Drosophila melanogaster: one gene and its partners. The protein of the gene in region 1 interacts with the protein of each later gene in a pairwise test. Each region holds a gene or a part of one and is shown in the gene's direction. Other genes may lie near its edges.

Evidence for each region.
Region 2: the proteins of CG13124 (region 1) and CG33017 interact in a two-hybrid assay, tested with the Drosophila melanogaster proteins (one large-scale study listed by BioGRID).
Region 3: the proteins of CG13124 (region 1) and caup interact in a two-hybrid assay, tested with the Drosophila melanogaster proteins (one large-scale study listed by BioGRID).
Region 4: the proteins of CG13124 (region 1) and CG3342 interact in a two-hybrid assay, tested with the Drosophila melanogaster proteins (one large-scale study listed by BioGRID).

What each region holds. Positions count from the first base shown.
Region 1 is NT_033779.5:9,901,640-9,911,260, reverse strand, and holds CG13124 (uncharacterized protein), read left to right. Parts: upstream 1-2,627; 5' UTR 2,628-2,836; exon of another isoform or gene 2,837-2,953; intron 2,954-3,405; 5' UTR 3,406-3,653; intron 3,654-3,713; 5' UTR 3,714-4,210; intron 4,211-4,817; 5' UTR 4,818-5,087; coding exon 5,088-5,228; intron 5,229-5,289; coding exon 5,290-5,386; intron 5,387-5,969; coding exon 5,970-6,123; intron 6,124-6,177; coding exon of another isoform or gene 6,178-6,208; coding exon 6,209-6,434; intron 6,435-6,502; coding exon 6,503-6,979; intron 6,980-7,044; coding exon 7,045-7,257; intron 7,258-7,319; coding exon 7,320-7,544; 3' UTR 7,545-7,882; downstream 7,883-9,621. Other genes in the region: Etl1, read left to right, coding at 1-52, 112-444, 505-772, 829-975, 1,035-1,337, 1,396-2,022; Muc30E (mucin 30E), read left to right, coding at 8,144-8,146, 8,203-9,621.
Region 2 is NT_033778.4:16,269,295-16,279,031, forward strand, and holds CG33017 (uncharacterized protein), read left to right. Parts: upstream 1-2,819; 5' UTR 2,820-3,017; coding exon 3,018-3,347; intron 3,348-3,410; coding exon 3,411-7,973; 3' UTR 7,974-8,361; downstream 8,362-9,737. Other genes in the region: Khc (kinesin heavy chain), read right to left, coding at 1-361, 500-959, 2,045-2,191; cato (cousin of atonal), read right to left, coding at 8,495-9,064.
Region 3 is NT_037436.4:12,606,654-12,613,216, forward strand, and holds the start of caup (caupolican), read left to right. Parts: upstream 1-2,977; 5' UTR 2,978-4,115; coding exon 4,116-4,166; intron 4,167-6,563. UniProt on the Drosophila melanogaster protein: Controls proneural and vein forming genes. Positive transcriptional controller of ac-sc (achaete-scute). May act as an activator that interacts with the transcriptional complex assembled on the ac and sc promoters and participates in transcription initiation.
Region 4 is NC_004354.4:6,524,340-6,530,257, reverse strand, and holds CG3342 (uncharacterized protein), read left to right. Parts: upstream 1-2,369; 5' UTR 2,370-2,454; coding exon 2,455-2,507; intron 2,508-2,581; coding exon 2,582-3,890; 3' UTR 3,891-4,152; downstream 4,153-5,918. Other genes in the region: Agxt (Alanine-glyoxylate aminotransferase), read right to left, coding at 1-691, 993-1,142; CG3918 (uncharacterized protein), read right to left, coding at 4,532-5,392, 5,464-5,568.

The sequences.
Region 1 (9,621 bases):
CGATTTCCAATGGTGCTGGCATTGTGGAGCAACCTAAGCTTCTTAGCAGCGGGTGAGCCTTAACCAGCATGCATGTCCCCATTTGTGTTTCTATTTTCGTTCCTCTTGCAGTCTACAGCTGGCTGATTATCAGATAATTGGCCTTAATTGGCTCACCGTAATGCACAAACAAGAAATGAATGGCATTTTGGCAGATGAAATGGGTCTGGGCAAGACAATTCAGGTTATTGCATTTCTGGCCTATCTAAAGGAGAATGGTCTTAGCCAGGCTGCACATTTAATTGTGGTGCCCTCGTCCACGCTGGATAATTGGGAGGCAGAGATTAGCCGCTGGTGTCCCGAACTGGTGGTGGAGAAGTACCATGGCTCGCAGGACGAGCGAAGGAGAATGCGAGGCCGCTTTGCCAAGGATGGATTTACCGGCTTTGATGTTCTTCTGACCACGTAAATATCCACAAAGCCATAAAAGAATCTAAGCTTAAATTTCTTGTACATTTTGAACAGATATCACATTGTGGGATCCACGCCGGAGGAGAGGAAAATGTTCCGGGTTTGCAAGTTGGACTACGTCATTTTTGATGAAGCCCATATGCTGAAGAACATGACCACGCAACGCTATGCTAACCTTATAACCATAAACGCTAGGATGCGAATCCTGCTCACTGGAACTCCGCTGCAGAACAATCTGCTGGAGCTAATCTCTCTGCTCTGCTTCGTGATGCCCAAATTCTTTGCCAAGAGCATTGAGGACATAAAATCGTTGTTTGCTAAGGTAAAACAAAGATTGGTTTCACACAAAACAATATATAAACTTCATGTTCCTTGCAGAAGGGAAAAAGCGATGGAGATCAGGATGAGGTTTCACAGTTCCAGGAAACACAAATCCAGAGAGCAAAGCGTATCATGAAGCCATTTGTACTCAGACGGCTTAAGAAAGATGTCCTTAAGAACCTGCCCAAGAAGCTAAGCCTGGTGGTAAGTACGTCGGGCGAAAATAAATATTATACAATAATTAAATTGTTTTTTATTTAAAGGAAAAAGTGCCCATGAGCAGTCAACAGAAAATATACTATCACGAGCTGGTCGATTATTATTCCAATAACAAGGGCGAGGTGTGCAGCAGCAGCGAAAGGGCCGGCATAGCGATCATGATGGAGATGCGCCGCATTGCAAACCATCCGTTGCTGATGCGTCACTACTTCACCGACGCCAATCTACGTGGATTCTCTAAGCGCCTGGCTAATGCCAGTTCCTTTAAAAAGACCAACGAGCAATACATCTTTGAAGAGCTAGCCGTTATGTCAGACTTTCAGGTCTATCAGATGATGAACAAGCATGTAAGTGACTATCAAAGAGGTTGTCCAATGACAATGACTAAATTTGTGCATCTTTCAGGAGTTTTACGACGTGAAAATACCCGATAATTTGATATGCGATTCTGGAAAATTCCTCTACCTGGATACGTTGCTTCCAAAACTGAAGGCAGAAGGACACCGTGTGTTGCTTTTCAGCCAGTTCACCATGATGCTGGACATTGTGGAGGAGTATCTGCGAATACGAAAGTTTGGTTTCTGTCGCCTGGACGGGGCGACCGCCGTAAATGTCCGCCAGGATTTGATCACCGACTTCAATGGGGACGATAGCATCTTTGTGTTCCTACTCTCCACCAAAGCCGGTGGCGTTGGCATCAACCTGACGGCTGCCGACACCTGTGTCATTCACGATATCGACTTCAACCCGTACAACGATAAACAGGCCGAGGATCGGTGTCATCGCATGGGACAGCAGCGTCCGGTGACCATTTACCGTCTCATTTCCGAGAGTACCATCGAGGAGGGCATCCTGATGGCCGCCGAAGAGAAGCTAAAACTAGAAAAGGACATTACTTCCAACGAGAAGGGCGAGGTGCACGAGCAGCGATGTGTGGTCAAGCTGTTGACCACAGCCCTTGGCTTGGACAAGGATCAGGAGGAGCAGCTAAACAATTCACTAAACAACTCCATAGCCTCGCCCGCCAAATAGGCATTCTCGTTGTCCTCGTTCTCGTCCTTGTCCCCACCTCCGTATTTATTCTGCGCGAGCATTTGATCAACTTGGTCTAATCGTCCTACCGCTGTCAAATCCTGTTAACATCGTTTGAATTATTCTAACAATATTGTATTTGTATATTTTTTAAACTTGTATGCAAGGAGAGATTTGGTGTATGGTATGCCAAAAGTGGATCATAAATCGAGTTAGTAATTTTTCACCGTTGAGGCGACATTAGTTTTTCTTCATTAGTAACAGCAACATTTCCACGATAAACCAAGGCAGACAAGTTAATATTCTTGTTTTATTGATTTGTCATCATGATTAGTTTTCATTTCTGTAATTTCTGTTTATGTATCGAATTGAAACTATTGTTATAAGGATAAAGATCATTTTGTGTACGAATGCGATCATGTTCATTTATTTCTACATATTTGCTCTATAGTTCGAGCCGCTCGACAACCCTAAACGGATCGCTCTCGCATTTTCCCACGAGATTCTTTTGGTTGTGTGGTGCAAAGAGAAGCGGAGAATCGCTTTCCAGAGAGCACAACTGTAATGAAGAGCTTTCGGCTGGCGCGGCGATTCATCAAGTCTTTAGTCTTCAACTGATCGCTCGCGCCGATGATTTAATTTTTAAGTTAAAGCCTGCGCCCAGTGTAGCAGCCGGCAGCGTTACTCACATCCATATACATACATACGTGCGAATATACATACATGCTCACATAATACGGCGTACATCGATAAATAGATATACCCCGCAGATATAGTGTCTCGATCGACAGCAACGAACCCATGGAAACCTAAAGTAAAACCAAAATTCCAAGGTTCCATTGTCCCGTAGTTAAATGTGTTTAAATCCAATTACATCCCCGATCCTTTATATTTTGCTCTTACGAATCGGGATTATGTGATTCATGCATAAGTACATACGTTTCCTCCCCGAATACTTTCTTGAATTCTATTTAAAAATAGACAAACTGTTTGCGAGCGGAAATCATATTGTGCCGCGGCGGCGACTAAAACGCTAAATAAATCGGGCCAATAATTTGAAATAGTCTGTTCTTTTTTTTATTTTGTCTTTCTGCCAGCCCGCTGATATTATTGTTTTTGACCAACGGAAACGGAAGCAACGCCAACTGCATATAGGTTTATAGATGTATCTACATAGTGCTGCGATACAGTCATCATTCGCAGCGCTGTCATATACTATAAATATAGATGCGGCGGCACATGTGAGCAGTTTTTGGCAATTGCCAAAGAATACGGCGCACAAGTCGGGTGAAAACAAACAGCGCGTGCAGGCTAAACATGAAGAGTAGTATAGGAAAATATAAATAACAATTAATAATCCCCTCATTTTGGCCGCGCCTGTATGCGTGTAGTGACCGCTTGTATGTGTACGTGTGAGAGTAATCCGAACAATAACTATATTATATACATAAATAGCGAGCGATCTGCATTAAATGAGAGAAAAATCACAATAAAAAGAAAAACGAACGAACACAACAACGCGAACAAAAATTAAGAAACCAAAACGGAATCGGTAATAATTGACGACGAGCAGACAACGAGCCGAGAACAAGCAGCACAAAGCGACAAACCAAAAATAGACGATACCAACGGTGCGTATACTTAACGAGCCACCCGCTCATATCACTCATCTCGCCCTCTCGCTCGCACAGCAGCCACCAGTCATCCGAGCAAAAGCAACAACAATAGGCACTAAAATCAATTGTGATCACAGTGCGTTTGTGTGAGTGCGTATGCGTATGCGTATCTGTGCCTTTTTTTGCATTTGCCGCTGTATCTGCCTGCATCTGTATCTGTGTCTAGAGGCCCGCAATCCATAACCATCTAGTGTATTACCCCATATGCGGACTATTTGGGCGTGGAGGGACGCTTCGAAATATTAATTATTTCTGACACTGTTTACGGCTTGACTTGGCGCATGCCAAGCATGATTAAACGAGACACGAAAGAGCGTATCTACGAAGTAGATAAATATCTTTATACGAACAACTAAGCTGCGGCACCAAGCAACAATCGAATCGACGAATAGCAACAACGCACAAACAAACCCATCTATATATACACTATAGACAGAGATAAACAAAAGCTCAAGCAGCAACAGCAGCAGCAACAACGAAACAATTTGAAGGAAATATTTTTGCACTAAAAGGTGAGTATATCCGTCCATCCGACGCTGATTCATAATACCAGCCTAGCTTATTCCGAGCACTCTGTTTGGCAATCTGAGAATGGGAAGTGTAGAGCAATTAGCGAGGCAAGTTCACATTGCTATGATAGTAGTCACTCTCACAGGGCAGTTAACCTATGTAAGATTCTCTAAGTTCGTTAATTACCACATTTTGACAAGTTCATTGTTTTATTGATATAAGTGGATGGTACATATAAGTAAGAAGAGTCAAAGATTTATTCAAGCCACATTTTGTGATAATAGATGGTAGAGAGGCCTGACTGTACAATGTATCTTTCGTATGTATCTTTCGCGGAGACTCACTTCGGACTTCTTGTGGGCCGCAGAATAAGAATTACTCGGGGGCTGATGTCATGTTCGGAGATGAAGTGCTCTAGCCAGAGGTTCCAAACCAGATGCAACTCCTACGCTCGGCCATAAAGCCGGTTGGTTGCTCGACAAGATCAAGTAGTTTGCGCCTCCCTCTCGCATGTGGGTTAAAGAGTTTTTGTGTATCTTACTTGATATATGTTGACAATAATATAATGCGATATGCTGAAGTATATAATTAATTTTCATTGTATTCCAGACCCGGCAATCTGAATCTGCAAAAGGGGAAGATATCCCTCAACATCGTATTAAGAAGAGAACTCAACTCGATAAAGGAGGAAAGGAAACCAACTATTGTGATATGTACAAATTTACTCAAATACTGAAGCCACACATTTAGACGTTTATTCGACGGAATCCCAGTTGTGAATCGATTAACCGGAGGATAATCTACCAAAGATTAGGCTTTCATCTTCAATTAGGTTTTACCCAAATAGAGCAGAAGCAGTACTCGCGCAAAAATCGCAGGATGGCCGAAAAGGTGGAACTACTGGCCCAGGCCAGCATGAATGGCCAACAGAATGATACGCGGAAGGTGCGCAAATCACCGGAATTTCAGCCCGGCGTTATCTCCCGCGAACGCAGCTTTGTGCGCACCTCAAATCAACAGGTGGGTACACCATATCGATGTCGATTAGCAGCCATATTTATATAATTGTTTGTTCATTCAGAATATCAACAAACGGCGAAGTCTGGCTTTCAACGTACCTGGCAATCAGACGGGACAGATGAGGGGCAAACCAGCCATGGATATCTACAGGCCTCCCAGTGAGTTGTTTTAGTCATTCGTTATAAATTCTCTAATTCGCTTGGGTGCTTGGCAGGGTGCTCGGTGCTAAAGAAGTTAAAGAACTCAATATAATAGAGAATTTTTATATTTCGAGGATATTTAATCGGTATTATTTTAGTGGTGGCTTAGAAATACAAACACATCAAGTGTAGATATATGCATTTGGACGAGAAAGGTACTGAATAATCAAAAACATACATGTACATATAACGATATTTATTATAGGCATATTTTATAGGGACTATTTCCGTTTTTTTTCCAGCTTAGTCCTTAAAAAGTGAGATTGAGCATATTTAAAAATGTAAATATTAAATGTCAATAGTCACATATGTACTTCAGCCAGCCCAGCTTAAGATGCTCTATTCTTTGCTGCCAGCTTATCAGTTCCAATTAATACTTACTGAGACCACATTTTTCTTTTGATTCTTTTCATATCTCTGTCTCATACCCTGTACATTCCGTCCCTCCACACAATGTTGTCCTACCCCCCAACATCATCACATACACTCTTGGGTATACCGACCCTTCCCCAACAATAATCCCCACTTGACTCTGTCTCAGATGTGCGCGGAGAGCTAGCCGCTCCAGCCGGTGGTGTCGGTGGTGATGGTCCGAATGGTGCTATCGGTGGTGTCGCCAACAAGCTGAACGTCAATGCCCAGGAGTTCACAATGACAACCAGCTCCGGGGCACCGGCCGAGGCACTCGGCAACCGGTAATGCAAAGTCTTTTAATTCCATTGTTTACCCCTCTTCCCGTCTCCTTGCAGAGCTAAACTACAGTCTACAACATTCTTCCAGTTCGTCGCTAATACTTCCGCTCACCAATGGACCCGGAGTGGGAGTTGCACCGGGTTTGGGTCCGTACGGAAACGTGAATCGCCGCCAGGCCGGACACTCCCTCGGCAACATGCCGGGCTTGAAGGCCAACCACCGGTCGATCCTGGTGACGTATCCAATCAATACCGGTGCCCTCAGCGGTCAGCTGCCGCTAATGAACTCGCCATCCAGTGGAAATATACTTCACGTGAGCTCTAATTTAAAAATATTGGTAAAAAAAAACAATATTTCAATAAATAAACACCTAAATTCCAGACAACAAATCGTGTAAAGTTTGCACCTGAGCCCCGAGGTCACAAAGTGGCTTCGCATAATCAGTTTGGTCAACTAAACAACAACTATGCTCAGCCTTATCAGGCGAATATTAATGGAGTAGATCCTTACATGAATGGAAATGCACTGCAACGCTCCAAGTCGTTGTCGTCGGCGGATGCCCTTACTCGTGGAATGGCCGGATTGGGACTAGGTTTGGGCAACGAGGTGGCCGACATAGGACAGTTCACGCCAGAGATCCAGGCGCTTATTGACACGGCCCTGGAGGATCCCAATAAACTGAACTCTCGCTGTCTCATGGAACTGACATCGCAGTTCATCAAACGCGCGGTGGAGAGTCGCCGTTTTGCTCTGCCAATATCACGACTGTGTCTGAACATCATTGCCCGGGAGCAGAAGGAAACGTTTCTCGAGGCGCTCCTCAACACATGCCGTCAGTGGTACCAGGAGCGTGAGAAGGTAGGCAATTCAGCATAAATTTCCATGATCATTTCATATTTAAAAATCTTTTACCCCGCATGCAGCTGTTGTTTGCCATCCAGGGCATGAAGTCGCCATCACGTGTCCGATTCACTGCCTTTATGGCCTTCCTTACGGAAATGTTTTGTCAGCTGAAACGTCGGCAGCTCCAGCTACGCACCCACCACGAGGGCACTCCTCCGCCACTGGTACTGCTTAGTCTGCTCTCCAAATGTTGCGGGGATTGCGTGCGTCCACCCATTAGATCACTTTCAGAGGTACGTTTTTGATTGATCAAGTGGTTGGAATAATACATGTGATTACTATTCATAACTTTCAGATTGAGTGCTTGTTTTATGTTTTGACCTGTATTGGCCAGGACATGGAGCAGCAGTTGCCCCAGCAACTGGAGTTACTCATGAGTCTGGTTCGCGATGCCTTTTTGAATGCCGGCGAATCTGCGGCCTCCATTCGGCGCACTCTTCTCCAACTCATCGAGCTGAAGGCCTCCCACTGGCAGCTACCAGGCAATACGGTTCTTTACTACACGCACACTAACAATTAGGAACGAGATCTGGAGCTGGGGACATGGCGGGGATAAGGGCACTGTGCAAGCATCAGGACACCATGAGCAATTGATTCTGTTGTCGCATTGCATTTAGGGCCTGGAAAACTTCTGTTCTATTTATCTTATTGTATTCTTACCTAGACATAAGCAATATTTATTTCGGCAGCAGCTATAGAGAGAAACTAACCCGAGACTTGCACACTACACACCAAGCACAGTACCAAATAAGATCGAACTCTTGGATTCGATATCTTTGGACTGTGCTATAATCTAAGGCTCAACATTTATGTGAATCCATATATTTATGTGTAATAAATCACAGCTAGTCAAACGAGGGTGCAAGTTTATTTTATGCGGGGCACTGCATTATTGGTCATCACAAACAAAAAGACAATAAAACAGTATGCTTCAAATGCATACAAATTTTAAAAACTTATCTTTTTGGTTTTGTAATAATGACTCGCGCTTACCTGTTGAACTTTGTTGAACTACGACCCTGGACGACCTTATCAGCGGCCTGCTATGCCATTTATTCTGCTCCCTATTTAAGCACCAACTAAGGCTCAAAAATCCAGAGTCTTGCTCGACAAGTTGCAATGGTAAGTCGAACATAAGATTAGTAGTTACCTCATACCAATATTGTCCTTAACTATAGGTCGTTCTAAGTTGTTTTATTTGGCTTGCCCTTTATCACTCTGCAAATGCAGCGCTGGAGGGCAGTGAAATTAAGTTTGGGGACGAATCAACTACAGAATCGGCTGAAAAATATCCTGATTACTGCTGGATAAATCCTTTTCTCCCGGGCTGTCCATTTGGTCCGGGTGATGGCAATAATTCGACCACAAAGATTTCAACACTGGCAACAACAAAGTCAACAGTGACAACCAGTGAGGAAACAACAACTCTAAAAATAACCACCATTAAATCGACGGCCAAGCCAACAACCCAAAAGACAACTAACGAGCCAACCACTGAGAAAATAACAACTCCAAAGGCAACCACTATTAAATCTACTGCAACTACTGCAAGGGCAACGGAAGCACCAAAAACTGAGCAAACAACTTTGAGGACCACCACGATTAAATCCACATCTGAGCTAATAACAACCCTGAAGACAACGACCATTAAATCGACTGCAGAGACAAAAAAGTCGACGCATAACCCTACAACTAAGAAATCAACTACTTTAAGGACCACCGAAGAACCAACTACTCGGAAATCATCAACCGCAAAGACTACTAGAGAGCCAACTACAAAGAGGGAAACAACAGAAAGAACAACTCAGGAGCCAAGCACCAGTAAGACAACAACCCATGAGACAACAGCAGAACCAGCAACCAAGAAGACAACGCATGAACCCACAACTCAGAAATCAACAACTTTAAGGATTACTGAAGAACCAACTACTCGGAAATCATCAACCGCAAAGACTACTAGAGAGCCAACTACAAAGAGGGAAACAACAGAAAGAACAACAAAGGAGCCAAGCACCAGTAAGACAACAACCCATGAGACAACAGCAGAACCAGCAACCAAAAAGACAACGCATGAACCCACAACTCAGAAATCAACAACTTTAAGGATTACTGAAGAACCAACTACTCGGAAATCATCAACCGCAAGGACTACTAGAGAGCCAACTACAAAGAGGGAAACAACTGAAAGGACAACTCAGGAGCCAAGCACCAGTAAGACAAAAACCCATGAGACAACAGCAGAACCAGCAACCAAAAAGACAACGCATGAACCCACAACTCAGAAATCAACAACTTTAAGGATTACTGAAGAACCAACTACTCGGAAATCATCAACCGCAAAGACTACTAGAGAGCCAACTACAAAGAGGGAAACAACAGAAAGAACAACAAAGGAGCCAAGCACCAGTAAGACAACAACCCATGAGACAACAGCAGAACCAGCAACCAAAAAGACAACGCATGAACCCACAACTCAGAAATCAACAACTTTAAGGATTACTGAAGAACCAACTACTCGGAAATCATCAACCGCAAGGACTACTAGAGAGCCAACTACAAAGAGGGAAACAACTGAAAGGACAACTCAGGAGCCAAGC
Region 2 (9,737 bases), on another chromosome or scaffold:
GTTGACTTCGTTTCAGATTCGTTGAAACTGGCTGGAGAGCAGCAGATGACGATGGTTGTGCGTGCATTGCCTCCCAGCGACTCCTGCAGGATGCGCGTGAGCTTGGAATCACGGTAGGGGATGTGCGTTTTGTTTCCGTCCGCCAGGGCTGAAATTACGTTGCCCAAGGCCGACAGCGACTTGTTGATGTTCTTGGCTTCATCAAGAACGGTTCCCTCCGCTCCAGTCTTGGAAACCTTCTCGGAACCGGCCAAATCCACCAGGTAGAGTTTGCCGGATAGTTTCTTCTGGTTCTCCAGGTTCTCCTGCTTCACATTGATAAGGAATACTGAGTGGGATCGCGAAGAATGCTCGTTCATGTCTGAAAGGATGGATAAATCGTTATAAAAGATGATCTGGTACATGAAACACTACAATCGAGGTCAGAGCGAATGCTGGAATAACTCCTAGACTTGTTTGGCTGAAATGGTCCTGACCATCGATTTTAATTAGTACTCACTTGTCACAGCGATGTGACGATTGGATTTGCCCTCCTCGATCACCTCGAAAACATCCTCCGGCGACGAGACGAACCGTTCCGTAGCGCCCTTGACGTACGGCACCCGGTTCTTGTCCTCGTGCACGCTTAAGTTCACCTTGGAGACGTCCAACAGATCTCGAATCTTGTCCATGTAGATCTCGTAGTAGGAGACCTTGATGTGAAACTCCAGGTTCACCTCCATCGCGTAGATGTGATTGAAAATGTCGTTGACGATACGTGGTATGATACCCTGTTTTACGGAGTCCCCGATCACGCCCTCCATCGTATGCGTTTTTCCGGAGGACGTCTGACCATATGCGAATATCGTTCCATTGTACCCGGCCAGGACATCCGTAACAATGGACTTGGCCGCCTCATTGTAGACCTTCTCCTGGGATGCATTCGGTTTGAAGACCTTGTCGAACAAATACACCTTGCCCTGCAGACGATGGAGATTAGGTTTAGTATAATGTGTTTTTTTCTTTAGTACATAGCAGCCAGTTACATTAGCTATAAACTGGTGTCAGTTGCGGTGAAATTTCTTTCGGAGATTCATTCCCCCTGTCCCCGATCTTTTCCCGCTGACTGCCTTTGAATCATTTTCAACGCATGGCCGCGAAGCAGATTGTAATTATGAGCATTAAGACATGTTAAGTGGAAGGGGGAAGAATAGTGAATAACGAGCGCCAGAAGAAAGCCACAGCGAAAGAGAGATAGATAGAGTTAGTCAGAGAGAGAGAGAGAGCGTAATGATAATGTCTGTGTATGGAGGCACTATATTAGTGCTGACTTTTTTGGAACTGGTTCAATTGCCCAAGCTTTACCAGGAATATGACGGATTACACCTGGCGGAAAAGCGGGAAATTCAGCATAGCATACAAAGCAATAACATTTCATGTGGCATAAAAGCAATACAGCCAAATTCCATTGCCTCCAAAGTTGCTCTTATTGTTTTTCCTCATATTTTTTTTTTTTGTATGCTTTGCGTGCATGACTCATTGGCGCGCGGACAGGGGAGTGGAAGTGGAGCGGGGGCTACCGTCAATGTGTGTATGTGTTTGTGTGGAAATGTAAGTGAGGTAAGCACTGAAGGCGGACTGGAAACTAGAAAAGCGCATATTTATGCGGCCCAAAAGAATGGAACACCCGCTTTTAGCAGAAAACCGTCTAGTGGGTGGCATTTCTCCACCCCGTCATCGCGCTTCTTTCGATTTACACACCCTATTCTTTTTCGACTGGGGGAAAATCAATTTGGTGCAAAGCAATATTGATTTGGAGTAAAGTTAGTTGGTTTCATCATATACATGTATATGTACATCTAGTTTTGTTTTGTGCAATTATTCATGGGTAACTTTAGTGCCTCTCTCTTTTTATCGCCTGGCATTCCAATTGGTCGGCAATTTTGGGGAAGGGTAATGTACGCTAATAGGCATGACGTCATGGCGCGGCACGCCGAGATTAATGCATAACACATAGGGAAAAGGCACTGGGGGCTGGCGAAAACTATAGATCTGGAACACATACCGCTATGGATATGCAGTTCTCCTCCACATTGTTGGGGAACTTGACCACGAACTTGGAGCCGGCCTTCTCTTCGCTGTCGTTCAGCGGTCGGAATCGGCAGACCACTTTGATGCTGTCCTCGGCGGGAATCTCTCGTTCCGCGGACATTGCTTACAGGGCGGAGATAGATCTTTCTGGCGGAGATTGTTGGATTTCTGCAGCTCTGGGCGCGACCTCTGCGCATGCAGCTCACTGTTTACGTGGATAATCAACGGACTCGCTATCGTCCGCACTATCTGCTGTTCACTGTTTGCTTGTGCCGATTCTGGTACTCCGTTTGGCCCCTTTTGTTCCGATTCTCTGCTGATTCCGACACACTCGCGAAAATTGGGTTGGGGGCGGCTCAAATAAGAAGATGCAGTGAAAATTTTGTGGTTATACCAGACACAAAAGTTGAATTGGTCAAATGGCGATAACGCTGGAGCGCAACCTCGATTCTGACTGCTCCGCGTCGTACTGTTTTGCACTTTTTTGCCCGGAATGATTAAGTGCAGCCGCTAAATGCACTCGCATACGTTAGTAGGTCGGAATTAGTTGCACTCAAAACTATTTTATTATTCGACTATTATTTTCGCTACTGTGCGCCAGTGTGACCGTTCTGCTCGCCCAGCTAAATACCAATCGCCATTTAATTGCACAATAATACTGAATTAATACTCTCAAAAGCTTCGAATGTATGAGACACCCTGCAGATCTTGAAAATGGTAACGGCATATAATATTCCTAATTAAGCGATACCGTTTAAAAATCATTCAAAAATTATTCAAAATTGCTTGTTTATTGTCACTTTTGTTTTTCCTGTCCAAATATTTCGGCTTGGGCGCAATATATAGCTCCAAACTAGGCATACAACCTCTGTAGGTTCAATAGGAAAACGCTATGGAAGATTGATCACCGAGTCGCTGGAAAGGATTGTGGAGAACAGAGGGGCACGATGGCACAGAAGGATATTACGTCGTATTTGAATTTGGAGCGATTGAAGAAGACGCAGAAGCTCATCCGACTTTATCGATCGAACGAGTGCCTCTGGAATCCAAAGTCACCTGGTTTCCATAGTGGTTCTGCGAAGGATGACGCCTGGCGACAAATCACCCGGCGGATGAACTGCGGCCTGACTCCTGACCAGGTGGAGCTGCAGGTGCTCGGTCTGCGGCACTACTACTCCAAGGAATTGGCCGCCATCCGAAATAGTCAAATTGAGGGTTATAGTTATAGTCCAAGGTACTCCTACTTCGAGGACTTGCATTTCTTGGGAAACTTGGAGGTGAGTGGATGGTTTTTGCACTGGATATTGAATAGTGAACCATTATCTTCTATTTTTACACAGGAGGAAGCTAACTGTCCCATTAAGGAAGGACATTTCCCACCCAATTTTTCGGAGGACACATTCATATCGCCTCTAGCTTTTTTAAGTCCCAGCTGCAGTGAAACCAGGTGCGGGTACACCTTCTACAAGATGATTCTAGAGCCTGAGCCACCAAATGAAGAGTTCTTAGGTGTGCACCATGAAAGATCTACGTCCGGCAATGATCGGTGGTATCCCACTGCGTACTGTGTTCGTTGCAAGCCAGAGGAAGACGAAGATCCTTGTGAAGCGTGCGAGCTAAGAGGTCAAAGCAGTCGTCCTCAATTCGGAAGTAAGAGCTCTTTAGAAGGCGGAGAAAGCGGCAGTACCAACCCAAGGATGTCTAATCGGTATCAGGAACAGGATCAGTCAAATAAATTCCAAAAAAGTGATAGCAAACAGTATCGAACTGGGAAACCATGTTCATGTCCCACGAAAGACAACCCAGAAAAGCGTTCATCGCAAACGCAACAAAATGATGTGTACGTCGGTGCTGACAACTGGGATGGTTACGAGTCCGTCGGCAATGGTATACGCAGCGATAGATGGCCAGGTCCCAGACTATGTTCCCAAAAACGCGGAGAGTGGAAGCCCAGGTTCCGTAAAGTAATCGGCGAGGACAATCAGAAGTCGTGCTGCGACAGCTGGAAGCGAAATAATAATGCCGTGTGCGGGAGACTTCTAGACCAGTTGGCCAAGCAACAGAATCAACCCGGCAGTTACTCCGACGATGGAGACTCCGTTCGGAATCAAAGCTGCGGCTGTACGAAGAATCGCCGCCAGTCAGGCGAGGATCAGTTAAACGTAATGCTGTTGCAGAAGAAGTATAGGGATCGGACTTTGTCGAACAATGCAAACAATCCTACCACCGATCGACACAGCAACACTCAACCGATTTCGGATCAAACTTACTATAACACCAGCCATCCAGTTCCGAACTGTTGTTACTGCACTTATAACCAAGTAAATCAAGACGTTCAGCGCTGCAATATCCATGGATGCCAGTGCATTTACTGCAATCAAACTGTGCCTCCCGCCCACGGTAACTACTACCAACCGCATCATGTCGATCAGAATGCCAGGAACTATTCTCGATCAGCTCCACCAGACGCTCCATATGATGAAACGGTTTACCTGAATGACTACGGACGATCTATGTATCCGGAGCCACAGCATGTGTATTGCATCAATGCGGAGGATGCGCCCACAGATGTGTGGGTACAGGCACAGTCCCCAGATGCCTCTACTAACCCATCCCAGATGCCCATGGCACCGCCTTCAAAGTCTTGGAATCAGGAAAAGGCAACTCGGCCGCTTCAGCCAGCCAAAAAAGGCAATGCCACAGCACCGCCACCTCAGGACCCAATGAAGACATATTCTTCAAAAGCTAGTGCATTAGAAAAGCATGAGCAATCTGGACAGAATCTTATCCCAACTGAGCAAACTAAATCGATGCCAGAGGATTTTCAATCAAAGACCGTGCAAAAATCGAATGATCAAGGTGAACGATCCAACTTAGGAAGAAGATCCTACGGATCCGAAAGTTCCAATTACAACCAAGGAAGGATTCAAAATGAGGAACGATCTCGCAGGGACGGTCCAGATCGTCCTGACCAGAAGAAATATATATGTGAGGATGATAATTGCCCAGTTAATAAACGCCATCAAAACGAGGAGCGTCCTTCAAAAAGGCGATCTCGTAAAGATGATGAAGTTGGTAATAACCATAATTCCAATTATGAAGATTCACCTCCCCCACGACGAAGAAAAGACAATGCCGATGAAGCGAAAAATCAAAAAGTTTTCCAACTTCAAACTGATGACTCCCAGTTAATGGCATGTCCCGCGTATGATCGTCGTGATCCTAAGGAATGTCCCCATTTAAAATGTCCTAGTCCAAAACACCGAGAAGAAGGAGTAGCTCGGAACTCAAGAAATCGCGACTACGAGGAGAATAATGAACGAACCTCCAAGTCTAGGAGGAGCAGTCCTTTGAGAAATACTTACAATGAAGAAGAGCAGCAGGCTCCCAGAGAAAGATCCAGTAGTCATGGCCGGGAGGATAATTTTAGGACAAAGAGAAAATCAAATGAAGAAACTAAAAGATCCAAAAGAAGATCCGATGAAATCTGCAATGACGAAACGTGTCCATTTGGAGTCTTTACATCTAGGCAAAATAAATACCAATCCGAACGTCGAACAAGAAATAGTGGGGAAAATGAGTACTCTAGACATGGCAATGGAACGAATCCGCGTTCCAAAAGAAGAGATAATGATAATCCATGCAATAATGACACTTGTCCATATGCCGATTCCTTGGAAATTAATATGGCCAGGTCGAGAAAACATAGCGATCGATCTTATTCTAAAGAGAATGACGAGGAGGAAAAAATAGCAAGGAGATATAGGAGTGAATCCTCACCAAGAAGGCGATCGCGGGAAAACGATGATTATGAAGATACCGCAAAAAGCTATAGAAGAGAAAGCGATAAGTATAGGAAACCAAGAAGAGAAGATCCTGACTATGATTCAGATTACAATGAATATGGACAGAGAAGATATAACAATCGCTACAGTGATAATTATCCTGAATATCGTACTTCTATAGGAAAGCCAAACAAGTACTCCAAACGAGAGCACAGAAATTCACCTTCTAGATATGCTGAAGGACCTCGTGAAGATTACCGAACTGAATACAAATACAGAAACCATGGAAATACTTTAGAGGATTGTTATTGTGACGATTTTGAATCGGATGAATATGATGCCAATAATCCATATGATGCCTATCCTAGAAGGGAGAACGCTACCGTTCGAAATCGAAATGCTCCAATGGAGTACAATGGAAGAGAATCTTCAAGAAGACCCAAACGGCCCTCGAAGTATGATAACTCGGAGAGCGAGGATATGCCTTACAATAAGTCAGAGCGCATAGATACTAATCGAAATCGTAATGCAGACAATATCACAACGAAAAGGAATCCATCCTATTCCAGAGAAGCTGATCTATACGATTCAGCAGAGGATGACTGCTTCTGCAGCGATGAAGAAATCCCCCACGCAACAGCAAATAGGAACTCTCGGTCGAGTAGAAATGATCGCAGGTCATCAGGTCTTGCCAACAATGGAAAACAAGATAGATCCAGAAGATCCGAAACTACCGAATCCCGAAGAAATGAATCAAGGAATAGTGACAGGGCACCGGAAACTCGTCCTTCAAATAGGGATATAAAAGAAATACAAAATCCTAATAATGCATATGATATAGACATTAAAAATAAAACGCACGACGTAGGTGAATATTCCAAGAACGACAACAGGAACGCTAATCATAACAGTATCGTGAGCCCAGTCTCTGACGATGATTGTATTTGCGACGTGGAAAGTGATCCGAAAGATCCCAAGTCAACTGTGCCGGAGAAACGAAATCAGGCTGGCAGTATATGCATAAATCTAAGCACATCAGTGGAAGACAAAGAACATAAGATGCAGTCATTTGGAAAAGCCAAGAAAACTGCAGAACCAACGGTTATGGTACCCAAATCATTAGATGCCTCTAACAGATTGAGGGAACAAAAGGAGGGCAAGACAAAGCTAGTAACCACCAGTGAAAACCAGTCGTCATCCGCCAAGAAGAATATCCGCGCCAAAACTGGAATATCGCCCAGAGTGCAATCGAGATCCACCAGCCCCGTTCGCCAAACAGGAGCTACGAAGATTCAGCCAGGAGAGCCGGTCAAGAGACGAACGACGACTAGAAGTCCTTCCCAGAACGCCGCCAAGAGAACAATGGAAACTCATGCAGCTGCCAACAGCAAGTTGCCCTTTGATCTAAATTCTGCCGCCTATTTTATTTGCAAGTTACAGGATGAAGGTAACAACCATCAGTACCTGCTTGTGGTGCCCAAGAAGCCGATTGGAACACCCGATGGCCACCGGAAGGCCCCAGGACAGGAGTCTGTGAAGCAGCTACACTGCCCAAGGCAGTGCTCCGGCTTTCAGAGCATGTCCTGGGACGATTCGGCGACCGCGACCCGATCCCAGCCACCTCTGCAATCCCAGGCGAGTGGTGGCCTTTCCATACTGGGCTCCTTTAGGATTCCACCAGTGCTGGCCAGCACAGCGCTGGGCATCATCAAAGAGCATCTCCACAGGAACACCGTGCTTCAAAAGCCAGATGCCAGAGAAAGAGAAGCATTATATCCACCCAGAAGGATGCGGCGCATTCTTATGACCAGACCGATTTCAAGGCCAAGGAGACCAGTACTTCGTCCATCCCACAAAGCTAATGCTCCCATTCTGAAGGAGAACAGAACCCTGCTGCTCACCAGCAATCCCTTTCGAAACTTGAGCTTCAGCGATCACAATCGAGAAGTTATTGTCCTGCATCCGCCGGATCCTGGCTTTCGGCCATCGAAAAACTCCTTCAGCAAGGGCGAAGTGGAGGTGCAGCACATCACAGTGCCCAACGAAGATACCGTTGTGAAGCCCGTGCCACCCACGCCACCTACGAAACCCAAAAGGACATCGGTGATCAATCCATAGCTGTTATGTCCTCACACAAACTCGCCCTCTCGTCATAAAAAAAAAAAAACAGCACCCAACCGAAGCCGAAGGACTCAGCTGCCTTTTTTATTCAATGAGAGGAGTTTTGGCCAGGAGTTCAGGGGTGTCACGCTACACCGCCCACTGTGGTGGCTTCGCAGTTTCGGAATCGTTCGGGGTTAGACCAAAACTTGAAGTACGCCTATCAATGAACTGTTGAGTAATTAATTTATGATCGTTTTTGAAATCATTGAGGCGTAGCCAAACGATCTGATGGCCAATTGAATCTGGGGATCTGTGAATAGTAGTGGGCTGGTTATAATTGGTAGAAAGGGTTAGATGAGTAGCTCATTTTGGATTGAACACTTGGTTCACAATCAAGCGATGCGTTCCATGAATAATGCCTTTGAAATTGAAATTATTTTTAGCATTCAATTAAACATTTCAATTTATTTCATTACATATTTAACTTAATCTACAGTAAGAAGAAAATCACATAACTTTAGTCTAGTATCATCCATCTATGACAAGGATCCTCCGCTCAATCCAAATCCACTATCGCTGTCGCCGAAGATGGTGTATGCAGCGGCATCCACTTCCACGTCCCCGTTGTTGAGAAGATCGCACAGCGCCAGGATGTAGGACTGGGCCATCTGGAGAGTCTCGAACTTGGACAATTTCTGGTCAATGGACGGAGCGGGCACCACTTCCCTTAGGCGCTCGAAAGCCGCATTCAATCCATTCATCCGCTTCCTTTCCCGCGCATTGGCAGCCTGTCGTCTCCTTTTCTGGACCGTGGGACTGAGATTGGTCTGCTCTGGACTGCTCTTCCTACCGTCCGATCCTGTGAAGCTGTTACTCCGCCGTTTGGTCTGCGGCTGGGTGTGCTGTCCTTGCGCCTCCATGATGGGTCCTAGTTCCGTTTGAGTTCCGCCTGCGGCATCCAAGAATTGCCATTCCGGCGATAAGAAAGCCCCCTGTCCGTAATCCTGGCCAGAAACTGGCGGCAACTGGGTCAAGTTGTAGTTGGGACTGCCCAGGTACTGGGAACTGCCATCCTCCTCGGAGGCAGACGAGTAGTAGTAGCTCATTGCAGATCCGAGCGGCTTGAAAGTTTCGTTGCAACTGAAACGATCCGATCGGATCCAGACTTGACTACGGTCAACCCCCGCGAGATGCATTCTACAAATATTTTCACCGCCGTTCTGACCAAGTTTGTGTAAATGGCCCGCAAATGACCCCTGGCCCCAGGATCCTCGCAGCTATTACCATGGCCCGGCCAAAGGATCTCCCCGAGGAGCTGGGGTGACTTAGGGGTTAGATATGTTTCCCTCCCTTTCGCTCGGTGGTGAAACGCCTACACTTCGCCTGTTGCCATCTCTTTCGCGCCAGGCACGCGTCATATCTTGCCAAATTGGTACTATCATGCCATGGGATCTTCCCCTCTCTCTCTCTCCCTCTCCCTCTGTCGCCCATAATTTGTGACTTTCACGCTCAACGGCACACGAGCGTGTGGAGGGGTGGGGGGCTCGGAGCTCGCGAGGATGAGCTACTGTACTGGTTGGCATGGGCCATCAATTAACCCGCTGGCGAACTGCATTGTGGCTCGCGTCTAGTGACCATATGCTGTACTCTGCTGTGCCGTGCTGAGCTGCACCGACCCGACTTTGACTTCGGTTAGGAACCAACATATGGTCGATGCCCATGGCACTCAGTGGTTGCCTTTGGTCCTGGAAATTTGAAGTCCTTGGCAGGCACACGACA
Region 3 (6,563 bases), on another chromosome or scaffold:
TGGAGCTCCCACCCACCGGCTATTTGTCGATAGAGTTTTCCGGCTCAAAAATGGAGAATATTATGCCCAAGGACTATGGCCAATTTGTAACAGAATCTTTAGTGTTGAGTACACCCAACATGGCTCCCCTTGGAGTCGTGGCTTAAACTGGACTTCCAACTCCAAGTGTGCAAACCCAAAACACAAACGAAAACAAATTCATTTAAAGCAATTTGCATGAAGAGAGAGAGAATCCTTTTTGTGCTTGTTACGGTGACTTTATCGTTTATCGTTTTGCGAAAAGGATTTTATTATATTCACCAGAAGCACTATCCTTTTGCCTTTGCATGTGTGTCTGTCTGTGTGTGTGTGTGTCTGTGCGGCAGAAGATTTTTCGCCGAGAGGAAACTGTATGTGTGAGTATCTGTGTGTGTGCCACATACTGAAAAGCGACAATTTCATGTCCAAATGCTTTCCAGGTGACATGAAACAACACTTAAGTAAGAAGCCTTTCTGGGGAAGGAGGTGGGGTGGTGAATATTCTGCCTGCAACTCTCTGTGCAACTGTATCCATTCCACCCACTCAACGCCCACCCATTCACTCACACACATTAGCAGTTAAATTTGTTGGAGTGTGTGTGCGAGTGTCTCTGAACCAACGCACCTGGCGTCGAAGAATAATATCTCTTAACGCCAAAATCTACATTTAAATTGTTTTCAATATAATCTGCATGTCCTGTCCACCGAGTGAGCAATGTTCGAGTGTGTGTGCTGCACTAAATGAAAGCAGAGCTCAGACAATGGGAATCCTGGGATCAGGACACTTATGGGCACGGGCTACGTGCTCCCAAGGATATGCGACATGTGCCACAGTTCACATGTCCGAAGTCATCAAACAAATCACTCAGAGATATTGATTCAAGGAGGTAAACACTGCAGAAAACATTCGATTCAATTAAAATATACTCCAATTAGCATGATACTCATTTTACATATTTTCTTAAACATTTAGTATTTATTTAATATAAGCTTATAATTATGCTAAATATAAATTATATATAGATTATTTGAAATGTTCATCTTGTGTATCTTCAAAATATCGAAACTTAAAAAATTACACGAGTATAGTCCTGCTTATTTGATGATTCAGAAATTGTTTTAATATATGATTACTTTACATAACGTTTTGGTATGATTGGATTGCATTTATGTTGTTTTCAATTGAAGAATAACTATTTGCAACTTTTAAACCAATCACAATTTGGCTCTTTAGAAATTCAATTTTTAAAAGCATACATTTTAAATTTCATGGATGAATTCTTTATTCTCAAATGCATTTCTTTCATGTGAATCCTTTCGTATTCCAGATCCCCAGACTCATGAAGTGGGTGTAGAATTTCGTGGCGCCGCCAAGAGCGTCCAGAAATTGAGTACCGATCAGGAGTTTGGGCATTCGGACACTTTTCCCAAAAATACCCGGTGCATTTTCATTTTCCTATGCAAATGACACATTGCTACACACACATTTACATATGCGTTCGTTTGTAAGTACCGAAAAAAGTGCCACATGTGCGTCTCTTTTGACTTTGAGATGCACTCGCATTTATAATAAATGGCAGCGCGTTAACACCCCAAAACATCAAAATACTCATTTTACAAAAATTCCCCAAAAACGTTCAGTTCCCCTCCCCACCCCGCCCGCTCCACATACCATTAATTAGAACGCACTCGACTCGAGGACCCTCAAATGGACCGGCCACGCCCCCTTCCTTGGATCGAATGGAATCGGATTGTTTGTTTGTTTTTTCTCCTATTTCGGTATCTTGTTACGATTAGCTAGTCCCAATTAGCTGCGATTTTCGTGATTTGGCCTTGAGATATTGGAGCATTAAGCACTTTTATGGGAAATGTACAATGCATATATCAAGCTATTTTTAAAAAAACACACACACACTGTAATGATTAAATGTTGTTGATGTTACCAATAACGTACGGATTAGTTTTCTTAAATAAAATTAGATTTTGGCTTTATATACTTGCAGACCTTCTAAAATAATTTAATTTGATTACTTTTTAGATTTTCCAAGTCCTTACACCACCCAAAATTTAAATGCACATTAAAATATCAAACTTTTTGTTTATTGGGAGCCAAGATAGAAAAGCAAATATGTTTATTAAAATATAAAAACATGCTTATATTTGTTTGCTGTATGTTATTTTTTGTAGTTTGATGTGACATAGATTATATTTATTTCAGCTGGGCTTATAAAAAAGGTTTTATGTTTTTGTTATTTTAATATTGAAAATTCTCTTTTAAAATTTCAAAGAATAATTGGAAGCGGATCAAATAAAACACTAAACTACTCAATATTAAAGAGATTGTATACCCACTCGTCTTGAAAAACATATCTTTATATGCCTGCAAATTTTCTTAAACATTATATTTAATTAATTAAATTAATGTTTGATTTTTTGAGATTGTAGAAAAATGTTCCAATTCTTCCCACGAATGTATGCCCAGACGTATTTTGACCAGTTATTATGATAGCAAATCTTCAGCAACTCTTTTCTAGTTTTTCCAATTATTTCTGTATTGTACTTTTTTATCAAAATCGGAAAATTCTTAGCCAACTTTGGCTACAATATCCAATTGGGAAGCCTTTCGATCGTGGTCCGCCATGAAATCGCTTCCAACGTCGACAGAGAGGGGTCGGCAGAAAGAGAGCGTCGACTTACTTTCCAGTGCTTGGAGGTGGGCGTTCTCAACGAACAAAGCAACAACAGCCCCAGAGAGTCTACCCTTCTCACTCGTTACCAGACCACTCACAGACGTGCAAGCGAGAAGGCTGCTGCTCGTGGCTGCCAGTCTGATTGGAACGCTGGCCAATGGGAGAGCTCCTAACTGGCTGGCTCTCTCGCGGCCCTGCAGCCATCCCGTTTACATCGCTGCTGCCATCTCTGTCACACGCAACCGCGCTGCTCGCTGAGCGGCCGAAAAACAGTTTGTTCCGAAACGCGAATAGGTGCGCATCTTCGCATCTTGGCATCTCCGCCGCGTCGCCCAGTAAACTCGAAAAAAGGCCGAAACGAAAGTACCGACGAACGAGTTACAGTCACCGGATAAGTCACAGTCGGTTATTGAGTCGCAGTCACTGCCGTCGTCACCGTGGAGATACCGCTGACAGGTTGGAACGGAACCCGTTTTTACTGGAGCATTGCCAGCGGATCGGATCGGCAGATGCAACCGACGTAGATAATGAAGTGCGTGCAATAGTTATGATAAAAGTAAATACGAAAAAAAGGGACCCGAAAAGACAGGCAAACCTCTCTAGAAATGTCTCGTTAAATATCAAAAGAAACTCGCCATAAATTCGAAACTATGTTTATTATTATGGATCACATATCAAAAAGTTTCCTAAGCTGACTTTAAAAAATTTCGATACAGTGTGGAAAAAACTGAAATACCAATCAGTGGGTAAACTCGCAAACCAAACTGACACATTCTTTTGACCGAAGACTGAAGAGCCGCGTACATTTGTAAATCTGTTTGCGGCAAACACTTGAATCCAATTTGCTTTGCCCGGCTGTCGTCTGTGTGTGTCTTTTTTTAACCATTTTGGTAACCGGCCGCCAAAGAGTCAAACAGAGTCAATAAAAATCAAGTTAAAACGGATGAAAACGGACGAGCGAAATAAAACAGCAAAGTCACACAAAACAAACAAAACATTTTCCGGCTCCGGCGACATTAACAGAACTGCTCGACATCGACAATTTGTTTTATCAATTTTCAACAAGGCCAGCCAGCAGCAGCAACAACAACAATAGCACAACACCCAACAAGCCAGCAAACAACAAAAGCGCCCAGAGTGCTTAGCCGTCGAGCACGCACGCCAAATCCGCCCAGCCACCCAACCCAACCACCCACTGGCCACCCACTTGAACCTCCCTTAAGCACCCAACACCATCCCCACATCCTTGGCCACCCCTTTTTCGAGGGCTCCGCCAGCATCCGCATCCGCAATCGCAAAAAAAAATAAGAAAACAACAAGCAAACAACGAGGGACGCCCCACAGTGAAGCCCCGGCACAGTGAACTCGCGTGTCGCCGCTCTTTAGGCCAACTCAGCCAGCGAGACAATGGCTGCATATGCGCAGTTTGGATACGCTGGCTACCCGACGGCAAATCAGGTGGGTTTATGCCGGTGGTTTGTTTAGAGATTAACAGTTAACCGTTTTTTTTAAGTCTGTATTGATTAGTAAGCAAACTTAACTTAAGTTTTAAACGGTTATTTAGCACAGACAACAATTTTAAGGAATCTTTTAGTATGGATCCAATATTGTATCTTATATATACATTTATATTTGCTTTGAAAATGTTGCTCCCTTTAGATTTTGTCAATAATATATTCAATTTTAAAAGTAACAAATTCCAAATCAATTAAAAACCTTATCCAAATTTTTTTTTGTAATCTCATAATTTGTGTTCAAACTGAAGGCCATAAATACCATATTATAAAGAGCACTTTGCTTACAATAATTATTGTGAATAGAATCTGAAGATTTATAAATACATTGATTTAAATTGAGTAGAATGCGAAAAACCAGTTGAAAGAGCAAATTTCTGAATTATTGCTACTGGGTGCCTTAAATTTAAATTTAAAACAGATGGCTTAGTCATAACAATTTATATTGGCCATGAAATTAAATTTATTAATTTCGTTATATGTATTTATTATATTTTGATTTACAGCTGTGCCATTTCAATATGCAGCCATAACTTAATCATTTCAAGAGACACTTGAATATACTATTTATTTAGTGCGGACTAAAATAATATTTGGCACACACACAAAAGATGTTTCATAAAACCAGAAACTGAGTCAGTTGAATATTTTGGCATGTGCGAAAAGGGAAATCTTTAATAATGGACGGTGCGAAATAACTTTAAATTTACATATTAAGCCGGCGGGTTTGGGGAGCAGCCACTGCACATGAATATTCAAGCACTTTGGCACCGGTTGGGGCTCCTGGATCCCTATATATATACATACATATATATATAGATATATATATATATATGCGGATATAGCCATAATGGCCGCCCCGCCGCCAAGAAATGTTTCACAATTTAGGACAGCCGTCACCGCCTTGGATGCAAATCGCTGGTAACCGAAGGGGGGGGTCTGGTGGGGCATTCCGGTGGCAGTGCATCGTCCGAGGTCTGGTCATAATTACCCGGTATTCGGAGCTCAGTAATTCAAATTAGTTGGCCCAAACGGGGGGAAGTGAAACACTTGCAGCTACAAAGCCCTTGCAATGCCTGTGTAAGCCATGTTCAACGACTACTATGTGGTCAAATGCGTCAATGCTAGTGCGTTTATCCTGCTGCCAATTTATGTACATTTATATATATACATATGTATATATGTGTGTATGTATACAATATTCCTGACCACGGTGGCTGGCATAAATTTATGCTAATGAAGCCGCCGGCGGAGTGGTGCACCATTTATTATAATATGCAAACTTGGTAAATTACAATAATTAAAATAATGAACGTTCAGATTATCGACTATAATTATGGCTGGAGATGTGCAAAAAGCCTTTTGCCTTGCAATCGATTAAGAGCCAACAGAATTTTGTCATCGTTTTCGGCTCATTTGCATACGTCTACTAAAGCCACTAAAAGCCACTAAATGCGACTAAGCCACCAATGAAAGACTGGTCAGTTGATATGGCATTCGGGTGCCAAATTTATGCAGTGCACACACTCGGGTTCTCATTAATTTAATTTTAATTTCGACGCCAAGACGGCATTCCAAATATAAAAAAAAACGACAATATATAAATTTAATCAACGGCTGACAGTTGGCAGTAGCAAAAGAACTTGCAGGCACATCGCACATCGAATTCTTAACTTCCCATGCGAGCTGTTCACGCATTTCATGGCAAAATAACTAAAATTCTAAGGCAGCAAAAAGTGCGCGACGATGTCGAGTCCTGGATTCACATAGGCTCCATCTGAAGCCCCCCCAAATTCCCCATCTCCATCTCCATTGGGACGCAAAAGGACAAGCCCGTAAATGATGCGAGAAAAAACTAATATTTCGCAGTGTGCATTCCATAATTGATTTATGAATTTTTAATGCAAACATTGAGACCGCAGTTGAGTTGCGAAAGAGTTGTTCCACTGCGAACCATAGTATTCTGCGCCCCAACTTAATTCAATAAGCAAGCCCCACAAAAAACCGAGCAACTTATTCGCATTAGCAAAAACGCACTTTGGAGCCAGTCCCTTTGGCCATTCAATGCACGGCGAGAAAAAATGTGGGCAATTGGTAGGGGCTTATTCTCAAATTTATTTTAATGACATAGAAGCGAAATAGAAGCATAAATCGGTAAACTTAGCTGTTCACTACCATAAAACTTATATCCATACCTTTTATTTAGATAACAAACATAAATTCTACATAAATTTAATTCATTTTAAAAATTCTTATTCAGGAAGGTTTTTGTTTAAGTAATGTTTCTACAAGTTCTATATAGATATTTAAATAAATTCAATTGATTTTATCTTAATTTATT
Region 4 (5,918 bases), on another chromosome or scaffold:
TGAGGCCGACGGCACAAAAGTGGGCCAGTGCCTCACGCAATCCGTAGAGCAGGGTGGAGGATATGGTGTGGTGGTAGATGCGGGGTGTGCCATAGCAACCCCAGTACTGACCAATCAGCAGGATATCGAAGTAGTAAACCTTCGGCTTGGTCTTTCGCTTTCGGATGCGGGTCAAAGCACGCTTGCTGAACGAAATGGGCGTTAGACCGGCGGGACCACCGAGCGATTTCTGCGAACCCGTGTACGCCACATCCACCTTCCACTCGTCCATGAGGAATTCGGTGCCGCCGAGCGAAGCCACCGTATCGACGATGAGGAAGCAATCGTACTTGCGGCACAGTTCGCCCAGCTCACGGATATTCTGCTGGATAATGCCAGTCGAGGAGTCACCCTGGGCAATGAAGAAGACCTTGGGTCGATGCGCCTCGAAGGCGAATGTGATCTCTTCGTGCGACAGTGCCCGGCCGAAACTCGCCTCCACGTAGTGAACTTCGGCACCATAGCGACGGGCCATATCCCCGGCCCGATGACCCCAGACGCCCGTGATGCCCATGAGCACCACATCGCCATCCTCGATCAGATTGCACAGAGCGGCCTCCATGCCCGAGTGGCCGGCGCCGCTGATGCACATGGTGGCATCGTTGAGTGTCTGAAAGATGTACTTAATGCCCTCCTTCACCTCGTCCATGATCTGCAGATATACAGAGATTAATATACAAACACCTGGCCATGCTCAGTGGGAATAGCTCAATTCATGGGGGGATCACTAATATTAGATTGCTATAAAGTATAAGAGATGTGCTGGTTTCACTCGACTGGCTAGCCCACAGATCTCTGACCCAGCTCAGCAAATGTATCTCAATGTTTCACTTCGTTCAGATAAGGTACAGTGCGGCCCATGAGTATATGGACTTGGGCTTAACTTTTCGATATAATTCGAGTATTAAGCTCAATCTTGCTAGCACTTTTGTGGTTTTAAGAAGATATTGTACCTGCAGGCATTCGGGATGCATGTGACCCAACACCGGATTGCTCATGGCCTCCAGGACGCGATGGGAACAGTTGGAGGGTCCGGGCCCCATCAACGTCTTGCTGGGCACATAGAGCGGTCGCTTGAGTACAAGTGGCGGTGGTACCTCCATGGTCTTTGTTCCCTATTTACGTAATCAGATCTCTGTGTTTACGACTGCCTTATCGCCTTCTGCTCTCTAATCCGCTGTGCCAGGTAGAATGGGTGTTACTACTGTTTGGTGATGGGAGTTGGTTTTTATGGGCTGTCTCTCTCGGTGGCTGGCCAAGATCGGACTGAAACGCTTGCCGGGCTGCTGGCCACTTTATAGCGCACCGGATCGCAGCTTATCGCCGCAATTTTCGCCGATGAACGCACTTGAACAAGTGGTAAATGATGCGCTCTCCCGCTTATCAAGGCATCAAGATCGAGAGCAACTGCGTCGTTGGCGGCACAGAACGAAATTTGGAATAAGAATAATAAGTTAAGACTGCCATTTGATGGGTCAAAAAATCATACACAGTTTTAAGACAAGATCTTTACGAAATAATATGACTTACTACTCAATTAATTTCATTGTTAATCTGAAAGAAGTACCATTTTTTGTTTGCAGTGTGCTGCTGCTGATTCTTTGAATGGCCTTGGGAAGGTTGGCGGACCAATGTCTATTGTGAAATAAGAAATCCAGCGAATTCAGCAAGACGAACCTTGACTGTGGGTACGTATACGTAATGTAGCAACTTCTTTTTCGAAGCTGGAAGCATCTGCAGAGTGCAGAGATCAAGATCTAGCATCTAGATCTTAATTCTCTCGAAATCTCAGCCCACTGACAACTAACATTTGGGTTGATAGCAGTGCCCGTATCGTCAGTTTTTCCATTAGCGATTTGGAGTGGAAAACACATCGTGACCAGGAGGTCAACCGCCAATAATACAAATGTCGTATTGAGTGGCCGAAAATATTTATTACCATTTCGCTGGTGGTGAAATTAGAATCAAAATAAAAACAAAAACATAGATTTAGGAAAGTGATAAGCAGTCAAATTAGCAGGTCGTGACTATAAAATTTAAATGTTCGTTTAAATATTGATTGATTTTTCCATATTTAAGGCACAAGCATCTTTTTAAAAACATTGTTTCGAATGTAGAAGTAAGTTCAGTTTGGTTTTAATATATTGAATTAATTATATTGAAACGAATTGAATATAGAATATATATTCTATTACAGTTGACTATATTAAACATATATATGTATAAATATGTTTATTTTATGGCCTTTTTGCTTAATATTTAGTTATAATATTTTATAATTTTCCTGAAAGCAATTCACCGGTGGAAACAAGTTTTCTTCGTTTTGGCGCTTGGTCACACTTTCTGTTTCGGTCAAAACAAACTGAACAATAGTTAATGTTTTTAAACATTTTCGATGCGACTGCATAATTAGGCATGGAAATCGGCAACGATCAGTCCTATCAGGACTTCTTCGACAAGTTGCGAAGGTGAGTCTGTTTCTGGACGGGATTGGGACACTTGGCACAGTGGTATATACATATTAAATATATATGAACTCCAGTGAATCGGGTCCTCGCAACTTGCGCCAGATCTTTGAGGACGACGATCGTCCGCTGGCGAACGAATCATCCAGCTTGCGCTATCAGCCAGGCAGCTCCAAAAAATTGCAGGCTGGCAAAAGACCGGCCATGACCAGGAGTAGCACCCAGGAGACGGGTGATTCACCGCCTGCCGCCTGGAACACGGCCATTGCCAAGGTGGTGCATGCCTATCGGAGCAGCGAGAACGTTGGACGCGTCGGCCTGGCCCTCTCGATTCTGGGCGAGATGGAGGCCAGCAAGCTGATTGTCTACCGCAGCAAGAGTCAGGTGCTGACCACGCTGCAGTTGACACCGCGTGGCGGCAAGGTGATACTGCGCGAATCCTATCTGCAGTTCTACGATGACGAGCAGCGCTTCTGGAGCCTGCGATTCGACAAGGAACCGGATGAGAAGGAATTCATAACGTTTATGGTCAAAAACAAACTGCCAGTGGAGCACTATCTCAGCGAGATCTCATCCTCCAGCTCGGCATCGCCTTCGCGTGAGGATTTATCTAAGATCCGAACTAAAGCAACGGTCACAAAGACGACGCCTAATCCGCCACAGCCGCAACCACGTTCCCGCGTAACGCTGCCAACGCTGGAGAAGGCGGACGATGAGGAACGCGAACGGGAAACAGAGACACCTTCCAATGAGGATGTGATAGTAACGCCAGTGCCGCGACCCATAGGTTCGTCAAATGCTCACAGGAAACTCAGTGCCAGTTCCCTGGCGGTGGCCAACGCTTCAACGAGCAGCGATACTCCGTTGGCTGTGACGACACTGGACAAATATCTAGACGAACAGCGTGCCTCGGGTGCGTTAATGGAGCACAAGATGGACGCCATTCTGCAGGCCATGAATCGCATGGGCGGCCAGTCGAGTGTTGCGCCCAAGAAGCCCAGTGATCCGCTGCTGGAACGCGACAGCGAGGACGAGATGCTGGAGCTGGAGCAGAAGCTGCTCAACTTGAAGCGGGAGAATCGAGCGCTAATGCGCAACCTCAAGGCACGCGAACAGGCGCTGGAGGATCTACGCTGCTCGGCGTGCGCCCTTTGCGAGGAGCTACTAGTCCAGAATGGCGAGCTCAAGTCGCAGAATGCCCAGCTGTTGTTAGCCAGCCAGCATATTTCCGATTCAAGCACAGCTGCTTCGCCTGCCCATTGCCGCAATTGCGAGTCGTCTTCCCGGCAAATAGCCAAAATGCAGCTACACATTTCCGCACTGCAGGAAGCGCTGCGAATCTTTCAGAAATCAGGCGACTCCAGCTCCAGTTCGGGTCGGTTATAGCACCTAACGTAGGCGTATTATATATGTTCGGTATTACTATCGAAAAGTGTATTAAATCATTTGTTAGGTCGCGTAACATATCCACAAATACAAGCCAGACACTATTAGCTATCTTTAAGTCATTAGATTGCCATGTTATTGGGCTCATTTACAAAGCGATTTTCTAATCTATTACAACTATTATTACTAAATGTGAGATATAAAATATGTTGCGGAAGATTATAATTAATAGCAACCCATGCTTTGCTCTCTCTCAATTATGAAAAACTCCGACTTCCTCTTGTACAAACTAATTTGTTGTATTTGCAGCACACATCGGGCTGAAATTTAAGGTATAGGGACAAGTCTACGGTTTGCGCGTCTCATAATCCGTGGGAAGAGTTCATGGAGAAGTTGTTTTGGGGCCTGGAACTGGAAGTGGAACTGGCAGTCTCTCTGTGGAAGTGAGGAGCGGAAAGGATGGGCTGGCGGTCCTGCTCCTTTACGTTTTTACGGCTAAAATGGAAAGCGAGCTAGTTTGCGGAGCGAGTGCTTTGGGAGGCAGCTGTCTATCCATCCTGATGCTGATCCAGATCCAGATACAGATCCACATCTAGATTCTCTTGCTGATCCAGTTAATCCTTGTTTGTTTCTTTTCTTTCTCAGTAGGTGCTGCTGTCGCTGAGGCTGCTCAGGTAGCTGCTGCCGGCGGTCGGAGCACCGGATCCGCCGGCACGATGTCGCTTCCGCTTCGCCTTGGTCTTCTTGCGTCGCAGCATGGCCGTGTCCGTGGACTTGCGCTTGTACTTGCCCTGCCGCTTCTTCTTGCGTCCGTACTCATCCGATTCACTGGTGCTGGACTCCTCGTTGTCGCTGGAATCCGATTCAGACGAATCGCTCGATGTGGAGGAGTCATCACTCGAATCATCGCTCGATGACGACGATGAGCTGCTGGTTGATGACGAGGAGGAGGAGGAGGACGACGACGACGACGACGAATCCGAGCTAGAGGTGGAGGATGATCGTCGTCGTTTTGACTTCTTGTTGGTGCTGCCGCTGCTCGGTCGCTTGCCTGTTTTGGTTTTGGCCAGCTCGCTGCTGCTGTTGCTGCTGCTATTGTTGGTGTTTGTGGTCTTTTTGTGCTTCCGGCTCCTCTTCTTGCCATGCTTCTTGTGCCGCACCGACTTCTTGTCCTTGCTCTTCTCGGCCAGCTTGTGGCTGCTCTTTGAGTGGCTACGCTTCTTGTCCTTGCTCCGGCTACCCTTCTCCTTCTCTTTCTCCTTCACCTTCTCTCTCTCCCGCTCCCTTTCCCGCTTCTTCGCCTTGAGCCTGTCGCGGCTCTTGTCCTTGCTCCTGTCCCGTTTGCCTGCCGCGGGAAGCACCGCTGGCTCCGTTGGCGGCGGCACCTCAGCGCCACTCTTCAGCTCCTGGGCTCTCAGTTCGGTGAGCGGCGTAAGGTAGTCCAGCTCCGAGTCTGAGCTGGTGCTCTCCACATCCAGCAGGATCTCCTTGTTGGGGTCCACCTGTTCAGGATAGCGGTTAGCGGCGGATAAAAGCAACATAAACATGCGGTCTATGCGATTGGTGCGCTTACCTTGAGAAAATTGCGGCATTGGTAGGTCAGGTGACCGGCGTAGCCGCATTTCTTGCAGGCAGCCCGCAACGTATCCTTGTTGACGCTCGCCAGTGGGAAGTTCATGGTTGCCGCTCCGCTGCCGGTCGTACCTTTGCGGCGTTTGGCGGGCTGGGGCTGGGGCTCTGGCGTTGGGCGGGCTTGTCCACTGACTGATTATTATTTCGCCTCGCGCACCATTAATTGATATGTGCACAACAACAACAACAACGATACCAACAACAATGGGGTAAAAATGAAACGCGAGTTGAAGTAAATCGCGTTTTTAGTGCGGCCATGCGGCCGCGTTTCGAACATACCATGCCGGCAGCACACCGGTCCGCTTAGCCGTGACAAGCACCGATAGGCTGCGGTATGCTAGCTGGGGTGACACTGGCACGGAAATACCGTTGCCCGAACAAGAGCTGGTCACACTG